Caenorhabditis elegans: one gene and its partners. The protein of the gene in region 2 interacts with the protein of the main gene of each other region in a pairwise test. Each region holds a gene or a part of one and is shown on either strand. Other genes may lie near its edges.

The links.
Region 1: the proteins of cfz-2 (region 2) and ret-1 interact in a two-hybrid assay, tested with the Caenorhabditis elegans proteins (one large-scale study listed by BioGRID).
Region 3: the proteins of cfz-2 (region 2) and ceh-45 interact in a two-hybrid assay, tested with the Caenorhabditis elegans proteins (one large-scale study listed by BioGRID).

What each region holds. Positions count from the first base shown.
Region 1 is NC_003283.11:14,844,241-14,848,996, forward strand, and holds the start of ret-1 (Reticulon-like protein), read right to left. Parts: upstream 3,073-4,756; coding exon 2,976-3,072; intron 2,357-2,975; coding exon 1-2,356.
Region 2 is NC_003283.11:3,440,944-3,446,786, forward strand, and holds cfz-2 (Frizzled-2), read right to left. Parts: upstream 3,935-5,843; 5' UTR 3,933-3,934; coding exon 3,732-3,932; intron 3,080-3,731; coding exon 1,804-3,079; intron 1,211-1,803; coding exon 1,085-1,210; intron 1,031-1,084; coding exon 897-1,030; 3' UTR 561-896; downstream 1-560. UniProt on the Caenorhabditis elegans protein: Receptor for Wnt proteins.
Region 3 is NC_003279.8:1,126,378-1,132,272, forward strand, and holds ceh-45 (Homeobox domain-containing protein), read left to right. Parts: upstream 1-1,946; 5' UTR 1,947-1,981; coding exon 1,982-2,049; intron 2,050-2,832; coding exon 2,833-3,017; intron 3,018-3,428; coding exon 3,429-3,637; intron 3,638-4,844; coding exon 4,845-4,910; intron 4,911-5,095; coding exon 5,096-5,257; 3' UTR 5,258-5,388; downstream 5,389-5,895.

The DNA of each region.
Region 1 (4,756 bases), about 11 Mb from region 2:
GCTTCCATTTCAGAATTCTCATTTGCTTCAATGGAAGCTGCTTGCTGTCCTTGTTCCAGACCGATGAAGTGTTCTCCTGAAGATTCAAGTCCGATTGCAGTTGTATTTTCAACATCCCCAGTAACTTCAGATTCTTTATTTTCAGAGAATTCTTTCTCCGGTGGATCTTCCTGTACAGAATCTTTCAAGTTCTCTCCAGAATCCTCCAAACCGATGACAGCTGCTGTTTCCAATACATAACTCTCACAATTGTCAATCTGACCTTCTTCATGTTCTAGATCCGTACCGATAAAGTTGTCTCCAGAAGATTCAAGGCCAATCGCCTCTGGAGATGCATTTTCCGCATCTTCCGGAATCACAGAACTGTCAATATCAGAAGATGTCAAATTTTTCTCATGAGCAGCGACAATCTCTGCAAGACCAGAATCCTCAAGCCCAATCGTTTCTCTTTGAACAATTTCCGTTACATCATCCTGTTTGATATCTGCGCTCTCACCAGTTTCATCAACATTTCCAGATGCATCGTGTTCTTTAAGTTCAGAAAATTCTTGATCTTCTGAAGATTTCAACTGTGATTGTTTCACTTCATCTCCAGAATCCTCCAACCCAATGACATCCAATTCTGAACTTTCAATCCCTTTGATGGGCTCTGGCTGCTGTTCTGGATCCGTACCAATAAAATTGTCTCCCGAACATTCAAGTCCGATTGGGGTTATATTTTCAGCAATTTCGGTCACTTCAGAAACTTTATTTTCAGAAAGTTCTTGGTTTGTTACAGTTTCCAATGCTGGTTCTTTCAAAATATCTCCAGATTCTTCCAACCCAATGACTTCTTGGGTTACTAATTCGGAGCTCTCAGAACCTTTAATTTGTTCTGTGCCCTTTTCTGGATCGGTACCAATGAAGTTGTCTCCAGACGATTCAAGTCTAATTGGGGTTGTAATTTCAGCAATTTCAGTCATTTCAGATTCTTTATTATTGAAGTTTTCTTGATCTGGTGCAGTTTCAAGTAAAGGATCTTTCAAAATATCTCGAGATTCTTCCAACCCAATGACTGCTGGGGCTTTAAAACTTGAAGTTTCCTCAACCGCTTCTTTTTGAGATTGTTCAGCTCCTGCATTTTGCTCGATGCCTGCGTTCTCTCCAGATTCTACAAGATCGATTGCTTCCGGATTCTTAGATTCTCCAACTTCTTCGTTCAAATTTTCTGCGGTATTTTCAGAAACTTCAGTCACTTCAGGCTCTTTAATTTTCGAGAATTCTTGATTTGATGCTGTTTCCAGTGCATGCTTATTTATAATATCTTCAGAATCTTCCAATCCGAAGACTGCTGGGGCTTCGAAAGTCGAAGTTTCCACAACCCCATCAGCAGAGCTTTGAGGTTCCAAATCACTTTTAGAAGTAGAATCATACTCTTGATTATCTTGAGTAGGTCCAATTTCTGCAACATATTCTTGTGTTTCTTGGATTATTGGTATAACACCACCTTCATCCTCAAGACCAATGAAGACATGCTGAACATCCGTATTAATTGTATCTTTTTCGGATTCCAAGTCCGCAGAATAATTTCGAATTATTTGCAATTTTTCGGCTGCATCTTTGAGAACATCAGATACAGAGGAATCCTCAATTTCATAATTGTCTCCTGTTGGAGTTGGCGTCTTAGAGTCCACAGATTTTACAAACGAATTTTGGAAAGTTTCTTCCTCAGGATCATCATCCAAATCATCCAAAGTGTCATTGGAAGTCAACTTAACTCTTTCGATAAAGTCTCTTGCACCTTCTCCAGCATTCGCTTCTAGGACTGTAGTGAATGACTCAGTTTCAGTCTGTTCATCTTTTTCAACTGGTTTAAATGTAAATTCAGTAAGTTCAGCAACATCTGTAACTTCTTCCACAACGTTATCTAGTTCTTCAGATGGTGGAATGTCCTCAAAAGTAATGGTTTCCTGAGAATCAATACTCACATCTTCCATCATTGGAATTGTATAAACCAATTCAAATCGACGATCAGTTGGCTCACGGAACAAAAGATCCACTTCGACTTCCTCATCCTCAAATTCCAATTCATCCAGGTTGATTTCGGCACTTTTTGAAATGGTGTAAGCTAATTCCATTTCTGAATTCTTTGGCTGACGGAACAGTAAATCAGTTTGCACATTTTCTTCTTCTTCTTCAAAAACTTCATCATCAAGAGGTTCATTGAGAATATCGTCAGGAAGTTGTTCAACTTCCGAATGAGAACAAGAGGACCCACCGGACTCTGACTCAGGAGTTTGAAGGGGTTGAAGAGCAAGTGGCTGGAGGGATTTTGGCTCATGCTCAGATGTTGGCTCGTTTGTGGAATTTGTCTCCTCTGAAATGACAAAAAGATTTTCCAAGGAAATTTAAGAATATTATTTTTTCTAAGTGAAAGACCTTGACAAAGCATTAATCTCGACCTTTTAAATTTTGATTTTTAATTATTTCAGTGTTTTTTTGCTTTATTTTTGAGACCTATAAATGCTCCAAAAGCTCTTTTCCGATATTTTAATATGGGTTTTCGAATTTGATTTTCAGATTTTTTTCCGAAATATATCGGAATCCAAACAATTTCCACATAATTTTGTCGACTTTTTTACCTTTTTATCTTTTTAAATTTTTTTTTATCTTTTTTAATGCCTAAAAACTATTTTTTGAATCATTTTTGCGGGATGTCTAGAAATAAACTGAAAAAATCAAAAACAAAAATTTCAGAGGTAGATATCGGATATGTGCCTACTTGGATACGTGGAACATTTATTAAAGTTTTTTTTCAGAAATTTTAAGTTAAAAAAGTTATATAATGCTTTTTCTTATGAACTTCAAAATTTTCAAAATTCACAAAAAAAACTAGCAAGAGATACAATCTATTAGAAATCAAGCTTTTTCAATTTTTTTTTTTCAAACTGCATTTTTACAAACTAAATTTAAAAAAAATATGAAAAAACACTCACCTTTCGGGTCAATCCAAATTGTCTTAACCAACTCAAAATTTGTGATCTCCGGTGGTTTTCGAAAGAAAAGTTCCACATCGACATTTTCAGCGTTCATTTCGTTTTCAGCATCCATGAAGTGGTGTTTTTCGTGACAAAATTTTTTGGAGCTCACAAAAATGTGCTGACACGAGATGAAGGGACCCCGAGGAGTTCACCATGTGATTGTATACCCTGCGTCTCCGCACAGGTACATGATATTTCTGCGGGGACAGCTGCCGTCTCACCGCAGGTGATGAGCATTTTTGCTTTCTCTCGGGGTTTTCGATCATCTCGCTCTTTTGTGCTATTTTGTTTTTCTTTTTGTTGTTGCCCTCTGTCTTCTTCTCTTTCATCTCATTCATCTCTTTTTCAGCTCAAACAGAGATCCAAGTCATACGTTTCAAATGACAATAGGGGAAAGATGGGGGTGTCAGTGATAAGCTCAAAATCATGGTGGCTTCAAAATTATTTAAAGGAAAGCACTTAAAAATCTCATGAAATGCCTGCCCATGAAAGAGAAACAGTTTTTTTTTCTGTTCTCGAAGGTTTCGAAATTAGTTTTTTCAGCTTCCTTTTATTGACCGATAAATCTTGCATGGCGGTCTGTTCACCTGTTTAAATATTATGTTGAAATCAAAACAGAGCGACCGTGTTTTGGAAAACACGCAGAGAAGCACGAATGTGAATAAGAAAAAGTCGATCTCAAATTTCTACGTCATTTGTTCAAACGCATATTGACTTATTTAACAGCCACTTAATTTTTTTCGAATTCACTGCTGATTTTATAGTGCTTATTGGCAAAGGAAATATTTTTTGAAAAAAAGTTCCAATAACTGACTTATTTTTGAATTTTTTCTGACATTCAAATTTAAATTCAATTAAAATTCTGAAACTGCCAAAACAACAATATATTTTTAACATTACAAATTTATTAAATTTTTTTTCAAATTCACATAATCCAAAACAATCGTTTATGTTGAAACCCGTTATAAAAAACCATTTTCTGGTTGATTTAAAAAATGACTTTCAAATTTATGAGCCGCGAAAATTTAAAATTGGCACATCTTGATTGTAAATAAATCTTGCAATTTTTAGTGGTAATTGCACTATAGAAGATATTTTGAACAATTCTCCTACTGACGTTTCTCTTTTTAAAAAAATGAGCCAAGATATAAGCTCACAAAAAAAGAAGCAGTACTAGTAGTAACAATATTGAAAATTTAGAAAGTCTGACATCTGAAAAAGCGAAAATAAATATAGCAATATGCAATTTGTCTCGTTTTTCCATGTTATCAATTGATATCAACTCATATGTTCATGGAAAGAGTGTGGTGAGTGACGTAAGCAAACAAACAAAATTGTTTTTATTTCCATAACCTCTATTTTGAAAACTTCCAACTGTTTCCATTCCCCCAGTTACAGTCAATTGTCAATCTATAACATACAAAAATGCCAGTTTATATTAGATACGCAGACAGCTAGAACATTTAAAGCACGTGCTGTGTCGGCTGTTCAGATGTAAGAGGGGCATCTGTTGTTAATCGTAAATCACATTGACAGGTAGGTCAGAGAGTTTTGATGACGTGGATTGGGGGAGAGGGTTGGGTTTCAGAGTTTTTTGTCAGAAAAAAGTTTTGGAAAAGAAGAAAGAAGTTGATCGAGTAACTTGAGAAAGTTGTGAAATGAAATTTTGAGAAAAAAAAATGAAAATGAAACAAAAAACAAAATAAAAAAAAAGATCGAGAGAAGATAGATAATTC
Region 2 (5,843 bases):
CCCAATACCTCTTCTGTAGACAAAAACTCAATTTTTCCTAAACTACAGTAACCCTACCGTATACCTACAGTACTCCTACAGTACCACTACAGTACCTTGACATTATCCATCACCAACTTCCAACCCAATACCTCTTCCAACTACAGACTACAGAGTTCAAAGACCAAAGATCAAAGATCAAACTACATAGGGACAGAAGGACACGCGCTTTATATATAGTAAATGATTTGTATGTTTTTTCTTTGGAAAAGTGTCTGAAAATTTACAAACATGTATTAAATTTAGAACAAAAAATCCAGAAAAATCATGATTTTAGCCAGAAAACGCGAAAATATAAAAAATGACGTCACTCATTTGCGTGGGAATTTAAATTCAGTTTGGCCACATTTTGATATAGGCAAAATTCAAAAAAAATGTTAAAAACTTTTTAACAGTTTATTCGGTCATGACGGTCGTTTTTCTGCCATTTAAAGTGAATTTCAATCGAACACAAGTGTCTTGACTGACAATATTCATGAAATAATCTTCTAATATACCGTAAATGTTTTCAACAAAAAAATCATCAATTAAAATAATATTTATTAGGTATGTACATTCCGAAAGCTCGACAAGAGGAACAGGCAGTATTCAAAAAACAACACTCTAATAAGATTACAAAAACATTGTTTTTAGTTATTAAATTTGTGATATTAAAATTATTTGCAAAAACTTTTCTTTTAAAAAAACTGAGAAAGAATGCCGGGAACTTGAGATCAATGGGATGATGATGGTGAGAAAGAAGAGGTAAAAGCTCATGAGAAAAAACTAATTTTAACGACTACAAGTATTGTGGAAAGTTGGTCCTGAAGAGGTAGATGTGCGGGGATCACAAATATTAAATATGCATTTCTTGAGCACTACAGCTTGTCAGGAATGCCTCCGTAAAGATGGTTGTGTCGGAGACTTGTGTTGTAGAATTGTGAGGATGACATGTCAGATTTAGCGTAAAGTATGTCTGCCGGTTGGTATTTGGGTAAAGATCGGGAGGAACCTAAAATTATTAAATTAATAAAACTTGTTTAAACTCAAGCTAGATTCAACTTACCCAAACAGCAAATAGCATTTTTCCACGACGATAGAGTTTTGGTGCTGCACACCCAAAATCCGGACGTCCATCCCAAAATGCACATACAGCAAGTTTTGATAAGGGAGATGATCAGTGAGGAGTCGCCTGAAAATTTAAAATTTATGAAGAATAATAGGGGGGGGGGGGGGGGTTCAAATTTCAGAAAAAAAATTTGGCGAGAAATTTAAAATTTTTGAAAAAAAATTATTGACACTAATTTAACATTTTTTGAGGAAAAAAATTTGGCGGAAATTCAAATTTTCTGAGAAACTTTTTGACAGTAAATTTAAATTTTTTTCTGAGAAAAATTTTAGCTGGAAGTTCGAATTTTTGAAAAGGAAATGTGGAAAGAAATTCACAATTTTTGAGGCAAAATTTTGCGGAAAAATTAAACTTTTTGAATAATTTTTATCATGAAATTCTAAATTTCAGAGAATATTTTTGGCGGTAAATTCAATTTTTTCGAAATAAAATATTGGCGGTAAAATCAAATTTTTAAAAAAATGTTTGCGGAAAATTTGAATTTTTGAGAAAAAATGTTTGGTGGAATTAAACAAATTTTTGGGAAAATTTTTAGAAAACTCGTTTTTTAATTTTCTAAAAACAATTTTAGCGAGCAACTGAAATTTTTTAATGTGAAAAAAATGTTTACTGGGAAATTTAGATCAAAAATTGTTATAGTTTAAAAAAAAACTCACCGATAGTTTGCTTTGGCGAGCATGAGCACAACTGCGATTGCTCCCATAATGATCGATGATTCTGCTCGTAGAATAGAACACAGATAATCAATAACGATGGAATTGTGTAGAGCAATGAGAAAATCCCGATTTTGCTCATCAACTGCGTGATTTTATGGGCACTCTCCAGTGAAGGATGTTGCTTTTGTACTTCGTTTCTGATACTCCACAAATTGCAGAATCCGATTACCAAGAACAAAACTCCAACGATGAAATATACGAGCAATGGGAAAAGCACAAAGATTCGTTGGAATTGTAGATCAGTATTTCCCACGTAGCAGATTCCAGTTATCGGATCACCATCGATCGCATTAAAAACTATTACCAATACAGTTTGAATAGCGGGAAGGCACCATCCGACCACGTGGAAATGGAATGAGAACGAGGAAATCGCTTCGGGGGACCACTTTGAAGCGGCCGACAGCACCCAGGTTAGCGAAAGGATCACCCACCAAACCGAGGCAGCCATTCCGAAGAAATAGGTGAGCAGGAAAACGACGAAGCACAAGGATCCAGAGTTATCATCAGCCCCCTTAATCCTCATCGAGTCGCATGCGATCTCCTCGTGGCCCACGAAATATCGAATCATGAATCCGACGGCAACCATGAGCTGACAGAATGCCAACATGAAGATCGGACGTTCGGGGTATTGGAATCGATCGGTCTCGATAAGGAATGTGAGGAATGTGAAGGAGGCTAGCACGCAGCATGTGATGCTCCAGAACGCCATCCAGTTGCTCACCAGGCTATGACTCTCGGCCAACGCTGGGGAATGGCATGAGTAGGCGCAATTTGTTACATTTCCAACTTTGGACTTTTCAGATGCCACAAACTGGAACGGTTGGTTACAAGTGCACTGACACTCGCTGGGACCGGCTATTACTTCATTGTCGATCTTGGAAATTCCGACTTCTGGGCCATCTGGACTATAGTTATGATTTTGATTTTGATTCTGGTTCTGATTCTTATGATGATGCCCCTTGTGCTGCTTCTTTGGTGTATCTGGTGGAGCTGCACAGATGTTCCCAGTCGACATCTGATCCGACATCTTTGGCAGCGCCTCGCAAGACAGTGTCTCGGGCCATCTGAATCCGTACTTGGCCATTATTGGACTGCACTTGCTGCGTGCCTCCACACAAAGTTCCATGCACGGGAGAATTGGTTTGTCGTAGTTTTCCTGGCAGATCGGGGTGTACATTGTGCAGAGGAAGAATTTGAGATGTTGGAAACAACCGACCTGGAAATATAAATTTTTTTTTGATTTTTGGAAGAAGGTAAGTTTTTCAAATTTACTTTTTTCTTGATTTTTGCGAAAAAAATTGTGAATTTGTCGTAATTTAGAGCCTAATTCAATTTTGCGTTTTTGCAAATTTTGAGCGCGAAATTTAAATTTGGATTTTATTTAATTTAGCTCAAAATTTAAATCTAATTTTTTTTCAACAACTTTGGCACTAAATTAAGGTTCACATTTTTTTAGTATATAACAAATTTAAATTTATAATCTTGTTTAAATTTTAGCGCCAAATTAAAATTTTAATTTTTAAATTTTTGGCGGAAATTTCAAATTCAGATTTTTTTAAATTTTTGGTGTGATATAAAAATTTCAATTTTATTTAAAATTTAGGGTTGAGTTTTTTCAAAAATTTGGCGCAAAACTCATTCTGAAAAATTTAAATTTTCAGCGCGAAATTCATATTCGGATTTTTTTTTCGAAAATTTTAGCGCCAAGTTAATTTTTTTTTCAATTTAGCGCAAATTCTAAATTTGGTGTCTTTCGAATTTTTAGCGCGAAATTCAAAATTTCTCAATTTGTGGTGCAATATTCAATTTTTGTTTTTTTCATTATTGCAAAAAATATTTCCTCATAGAAAATTGTTTAAAAAACTCACCTCCACCAGCGGATAAAATTGATGAACTTCCAATCCGGCTTCTTCCTGTTTTTCATGTCCATAACTATTCGGGAACGATGTCATATTGTAGCCAATACCTTTGCATAGAGGAATTGTGATTTGCTCACATTTTTGACGTTTTCCAAAAAGAGCCCCACAGGAGCCAAGCAATAGGAACAGCACGCTGATCCGGAGTAGCATATCTAGAAATAAAATGTTAATTTTGAAGTTAAAGATATTAGAAAAGGTATAAAGAAAAAGGAAAGAACAAAAAGAAAAACAAAAAAAAAGATAAATGAAATTTGAGATTTAAGTAGCTGAAGGTGGAGGAGAATAAGAAGACAGGAAAAGTACAAAGGATGCGCTTCCTCCTGAGGAGGGAGGATCGGTGTCAAGTTACGGGAGTTCTTAGAGAAAATGATCCGTTAAAACACAAAAAAATCAATATCCACGTAGCAAAACTGTGATCGCTTATCACTATTTACCGAGTACTACTACTATCATGACACAATACACACAAGAGCTTTGACCTAACATCCAGTGATCAGCTATCGGATCGGTATCAAAAATATAAGAGAGAGAGAGATACCCAAAGAGCACTTTTTCATCATACAGAGCATCAAAAGCATCAAAAAACCAGTAAGGGGAAACGATTTTTTTGCGGGAAATAGTGGAGGATATGTGGAGAGAGTGTTTGCAGGCACTCGAAAAATATATCCAACCAAGATATATCGGAAAGGTCTTTATCAAATTAGATATGTTTTTAGCTAAATTCTCTATATTTAGATCTGGGATGAAATCTGAAAAAAGAATATACAAATTTATGAAAATGAGAAATAAATAAGGCTCAGGATACGAGAATTTTGTTACGTGCTGGGGTATGTAACCTAGTTGTGCAAGCATAGGGGTCTCAAACGGAACACGAATGGAATTCAAGGGGTGTCAGGTTGCATAAGAAGAGCCTAGAAAGAGGAGATATGTTTTGACTCTACCACCTCCAACCAACAACTACTGAAGTTATGTACATATATATGAATGAGCTGGGGGAGATGGAAAGGGGGAGGAGAGAAGAGTGTGCAAATAGGGGAGGGCAAAGTGGTGGCTGGCAAGGAGTTGGAAAATTTTGGAAGGTGCTAAAAGGAGGAGGTGACCCCCACTGTGAGCAACAACAGGTGGAATGGAGGATGGGTTAGAGATGTGGATAGGGCTGAAATTATTATAGGTGGAGTAGCGCCAGTAGGGAAAGTGTTAAAACTACTGACTTGGTGCCAAAATAGCCGAATATTAAGATAAAACGTTTCAAAAACTTTTTGAAAATTTTTTATTTACTGGCAAAAAATGACAATTACTCAATAGGCAAAAACTCATAATTTTGGAAATCGATCAAAATAAATTTTTTGCCCTACATTTTCATACTTTAATTTTGTTTTATTTGTTTGTATTAAAACATTGTAGGGGTCGGAACATGCGACCGGAAATTATTTTTTTAAAAAAATTTTAAAGAGTATTGGCATGTGTTTTTAAAATGACCAAAAATTACAGTAAAAGCTTTTAAAAAATTTTTTTGGAATTTCTTAATGCACTGAAATAATTGGAACAAATTGCATATTTTTCTTCAATTTTTATATTTTAATTGTTTTTTTTATTAATTGTGGAAATTTCCCAAAAGGTACACATTTTTTAAAAATTTGGCAATTTACGAAAACTGACTGGAATCTTTCAAAAATCTATATTTTTTGTAGTGTTTTTACTGATGTTTGGTCATGTTAGACAACCTTCAAATAATTTTAATTTTAAAATCGCAAATCCTGAAAACTACTAGAAAAAAAGTTCCGACTCTACGAAAAGTTGATTAAAAATTAAAAATGTACTGATAAATTATACAAAAATTTAGAATTTTTCCGATACAAAAACAAGTTTTCGAAAGTATAATTTGTTTTTGAAATTAAAGAAAATTCTTTTTTTAAAACTATTTTTAAAAAAGTTAAAAATGTGAATAAATTCAGAAAAATATTCAAAAAATGGTACAAAATGTTGAAAACAAATATATCCAAACGTCACCGACCTTCTAAAAAAAAGGAGCAAAGTTCCAGGAAAACTAAAAAATTTAGA
Region 3 (5,895 bases), on a different chromosome or scaffold from region 2:
TCTTGTTACTTATGGGGTAATGTTTGACACAGGAAGCACGGGCGGTGCTCTTGGGCAAAGGTGTCAGGGGGAGGCTCTCAGCGGGAGGTAGCATTAACACCTTAACTCGTCTGGTGGGAAAGTATACTGTATTGAAAGAGTTTTAGGTGAGTATAAGTCATTATCTATACATTTTGACTCGTGGAAGAGTTTTTAGAGAATTTTAGACCACAAGAACAGTTATAGTCAATCTTTAAAATAAAAACTCGGACAAAAAATTTTTCAAACTTTTTTTTTTTGATGAATTCTCTTAAGTTCTGCGGTAAAAAATCCTAAAAAGGGTAAATTTAACACTCTAACACTACTCCTAAGCCTAAGCCTAAGCCTATGCCTAGCACAAGCCTAAGCCTAAGCCTCAGCCTAAACCTAAGCAAAAGCCTAAACCTAAGCCTAAACCTAAGCAAAAGCCTAAGTCTAGGCCTAAGCCTAAGCCTAAACCTAAGCCTAAGCCTAAGCCTAAGCCTAAGCCTAATACTAAGCCTAATCCTAAGTTTTTCCAGACCCCCTTATTCAATTTCAGCCGCCCCATTCTGAAGGGACACCTGTGTATAATAAGGGGAATGATCCGAATAAGGACGATCAGATATGAAAAGTAAGAAAATAAGGAAGGATCACCGACAGATATTCACACTTGAATGCACACCACCTTTCCCAAATTGAAACCCTCGCCCGAAGAAGGGACATGAGAATTGGAGAAACAGAGACATATTACATATTCTTGACACTGTGCCGCGCCGCCGTCAGGCAGTAAATCATGATAACTAATTGACAGAATGGAGAGACGGGTGTGTATGTATACAGGTTGACTAGTTGCCATGACATGTATATCTGGGTAAGAGCGAGTAGGCATGCCTGCCTTCATGGAATACCTTCAATGCCTACCTTGAGCCTATCAAGGCATGGCTTGTGCCTATTATTACACGTGGCGCCAGAGTTTGATCTACGTAGATCTACGAGACTTCTCAACTGATTTCGTATGGTTAAGAATGTGCTGAAGTCACGTTTTTTCGGGAAAAAATTCCCGCATTTTTTGTAGATCAAACCGCAATGGAACAGGCTGGCACCACGTGCAATTACTTTTCTTGTACCAATCAATGTGCCCTAAGACTATCAAAGCCTATCCCCACCTACCATGGTCTACCTTCAAGGCCTGCCTTGTACCTATCAAGGCATTCATTTTGCCTACACGCATGCCTACTCTAAAAACCAACAACATTTGAACTTGGAAAATAAAAAAATTCACCTGCCTTCAAAACGACCTCCGCCTACCGCGTGCCTATATAATTGCAAAATTTATTCTCCAATGTGTACTCCCATTGTACACCAAAATCTTAATGTACAAAAATACAAAAACCTGAGGGGCCTAGAATTTTAAAATTTGATATTCGAAATTCTAGGCCTTATTAAATATGAAAATAAAATGTGTGAACTCCTCTCGGACAAGTGAATATCTTCATTTTGAGGGTTCTCTTTAATTTTTCAATTTTAAGCTGTTTTCAGATATGTTTCACAAAATCTTGGTAGTCTAGAAAACCCCAATGGCCTAGAAATTGGAAAATCTAAGCCAAATCCTGGTCCTTGTAGTCGAGGAAATCCTTGTTTTAGGCTTTAGACCACAGACGTTCTAGGATTTTCGAAATGTATTTAAATACATTTATGACGTCATTTCTATACACTTTTCGATTTTCCGGCACGATGTTTAACGGAAAACTGAAATTCGAAATTCTAGGCCACCGATACAAGCAGGGGATCCTCAATGTTTCTCAATCTCTATTTATTCACACCTCTCTCCTCTCTTCCCCACTGCGCCAAACGTCGGCGCGCGACGAAGAAAGTGGGCGTGCCGGCCCAATCACCGCCAAAAGCACAAAAGTGGGCGGGCACTGATGATCTACGAGGGGAACAACACTGAAGAATCGCATCCCCCACTACGGTGTGACACATGGCATCCTTCCCGTTTTTAATGACACCTGAAACTATGAACAAATTGGTGACGCCGAATTCTGCAAGGTTGGTTCCTTTTTTTTTTGGTTCGTGTGAAGCCTTGGGGGGCTTTTAAAGGGGGTTCTGTAGTGTTAGTAAAGTACAATTTAGTATAAGCAAAAATCAAATAAAAAAGTTTTAAAAAAAAGTTTTTTGTTTCAAAAATTTTTTGTTTCAAAACTTGTTTCAAAAGTTTTTCCATTTTTTAAACATTTTTTTTTCACTTAAAATATTTTTTAAATAGGTTCGTACTCCACTCGGACAACTTATTAAAAAAAAAGAATTTTCTTACTGCCATAAATAATAATGAAAATTCAAGATTTTTTATACAAAATTCTAAACAAAATTTTGCACTACTTGTCCGAGAGAAGTACACCGGGGCCATTTCTACCTGAAATTTTAGATTTCTAAATTGTTTTTTTTTTTGAAAATTCACGGTGTTCTGGCGTTTCTCATTGAATTTTTCGTGCTCCATTGACAATCGCCCGCCTGACAACGCGTGGGAAAGTCGTGTACTCCACACGGACAGATGCACTTAGTTTTACAACTAAACTCAAGCCGCGACGCGACACGCAACGCGCCGTAAATCTACCCCAGATATGGCCGAGCCAAAATGACCTGGTTCTGCAAACTCTTCCATTTTGAAAATCAAAATCCTCCTAGAAAATTTCATGGTGTCCTAGGAATATTTTTAAAAAATATGTGAAGGGCTTTTCATGGAAGAGTTTTCCTCTGAAGACATTCTAGGCCACGGGGGTGAAAACAAAATTTTTCCATGTGTAATCCTCTCGGAACATCCCAATTTTCCAGTATCTCCTCGTCATCCTCCTCTCCGTCCACATCAACCTCATTCTCAATTGACACATTGCTCTCGAACCCGTTGGCCGGAATTCCGCAGCTTCACAATTTTCAAGATCCATTTGGAGCAGTGGGAGCCGCAGCGGCGGCTTCTGCCCTGCCATGGCAGTTTCATCCGGCTAATTATCCGTTTTTCTGTAAGTTTTTGTGTGGCCCACGTGGAGCGCATTTTTCGTTTTGTCGGTAATTTCAAAAAATCGCAAATTCGAATTTGGATAAGAACTTTTAAAAAAATCAATATCGCCCACGTCGATACACCGGTAGTTTATCAAAAGAGCGCACATGCTTCAATAACAATCTCCATTAGAACTAAACCACGTGGTGCCAGGCTGTCCCATCACGGTTTGATCTACAAAAAATGCGGGAATTTTTTGCCCAAAAATCGTGACGTCATGCTAAATCAGTTGAGAACTCTGCGTCTCTTCTCACGCATTTTTTGTAGATCAACGAAGATCAAGCCGAAATGAGACACTCTGACACCACGTGATAAACTAGAAGGAAGCGATGCTGAAAATGCGCTCTACTGTTCAAAAACTAAAATTTTTCAGCAATGCTCTGCGGACCACTAATGCCTCCATTCATGGCTCCATATCACCATCAACACTACGCCTCCCGACGAAAACGCCGGCATCGTACCATTTTCAGCGAGGAGCAGTTGAACATTTTGGAGACCACATTTTCAACGACACACTACCCGGACGCTACGACGAGAGAAGAGCTCGCGGTTCAGTGCTCATTGAAGGAAGAAAGAGTTGAGGTGAGTAAATGGAAGAGGAGTGACGTCACACCTAGGCCACCGATTTTGTAAGACTGGCTGGCCTAAATTAAATTCCTGGGGACTAGAAAATTCAATGGCCTAACAAAAGCGCGGAGCAATCCTTGGCCGTGTAGTTCTCTTGGGGCGGCTTTTCAGTAATTTTAAGATTATTTGAAACAGTTTTGAAAAGACCCGCAAAATCTAAATTCCGCGGATTTCAACCACCCGAGTTTTTTTCCAGAATTTTTTAAGCTTTTTGGTGGTTTTGAACGACATTTTGATGCAAATTAGACAAAAAAACTCGGGTAGTTGAAATCCGCGGAATCACATTTTCCCGGAAAATTTGTTTCCGCGGATTTCAACTACTCGAGTTTTTTTCTAAATTTTTGACAGTTTTTTGGTGGTTTTGAACAACATTTTAAAGATTTTTTAAAAATCTTATGCGAATTAGACTTAAAAACTTGGATAGTTGAAATCCACGGGACCGAAACCCCATAGAAATTGAATTTCGTGGATTTCAACTACCCGAGTTTTTTTCCGGAATTTTTAAAGCTTTTTGGTGGTTTTTAACCACATTTTGAAGGTCTTTTAAAAATCTTATGCGAAATAGACAAAAAACTCGGGTAGTTGAAATCCACGAAAGTGGGTTTTCCCGGATTTCAACTACCCGGGTTTTTACAGATTTCAAAGTTATTTTTTCGCAAAAAAAAAAACAATACCCGAACATTCCGGGTTAATGAGTCCATTAAACCCTATAATACCATATAGCTGTGTTTCTGAGGAAAACCGTCTGTGGGGTAATCTCTAATTACAACCTCTCACCTGCCTAAATCGTGTCGGCCCTTTTCAATTATTTCATCACCACCAACAGCTCTTCTTCTTCCGTTTATCTTCTTCCACCTGCCTCACTCACTTAACCCGGCAAATCTCAACCTGTAGAGGATGAGGGGGGCGCTGGAAGAGGAGTGACGTCGTCATAGTTCGGCCGCCGGCGCTGGCTTGATCTACGTAGATCTACAAGAAATGTGGCAGAGTTTTTGACTGATTTTGTATGGTTAAGAACGTGCTGACGTCACATAATTTTGGGTAAAAAATTCCCACATTTTTTGTAGATCAAATTGTAATGGGGCAGCCTAGCACCACGTGCCTTATCAATTGAATAATCGATTTTTAAAATAATATTCTTTAAATAAATTTTCTCTTCCAGGTCTGGTTCAAAAATCGTCGGGCAAAAGAGCGCAAGCAGAAGAAGGACGACAGTCGGACTTCTAAGGTAAGCTAGTACACTTTTTGAAAATTAATTTTCAAATGCGCTCTACTGTACTCTCACGGTCTCCCTCCATCACCGCCAAGAACGGTAAAATTGGCTCAGTGGTAGGCGCGGTTTTTTGTGTCAACAGTTTTTGGTTCAATACCCAATAGTGATTTTTTTTTACCTAAATTTCTCTACATTTTCAGCACAGCGGAGACGATTCCGAATGTGACGAGAGCGACGAGGACACCCGAAAAGTGAAACGGATAAAACGCGAAAATTCCAGCGGAAAAGAGACGAGCTCGCCCGAATCAAAAGCCTCACTGAAGACATCGCACAGCGAGAATTTGGTGTTGGAGCCTTGTTAGCATATAATTTGAATCTCTATTCCCCACCTAGCTGGAAATCCAGGCCACCCCCTCTTTATATTCTAGTCCCCCCCATCCCCTCTCATTTTGTCAAGTCAATAAATGTATGTGGCGAATTAATCCGATTCTAATCACGTTATCATTTTGTTGTGGTGGTTGGTTACTGTAGATAATCCCCCGTAAAATTCGCACCGCCCGACCGGTCTCTGGCGGATTACTGTAGCCGTTTGGGGGGAGAGGGGGGTTTGTAAGGAAAATCACATTGCTAAATTAATCGAATTAGCATTTTTATCAGCAACGATTTATGCGTGTGTGTGGAAGGTATTACTGTTTTAAAGAGGAAGTACGGTATTAAGATACCTACCCTGAAGGTAATCATGTGGAAATTTGATGATGTTCTCAACAGAGCGCGTTTGCACACCGCGGTGTGACACCTAGCTGTCTCCAGGCTCCCCTACGCCTCTCGCACCTGCCGCCGACCATTGGTGCGGCTCATGGCGCTGATTTAAGGCACCAGTCCCTTGTTCGGGGGTTCCACTCTCTTCAGTTTACTTTTGCATCGATGCACCAATCTGCAAATCCGGTCAAAATCCGCCGCACTAATCCCACCCGCTGCCGAAGGTCCCAAATCTTTTGCA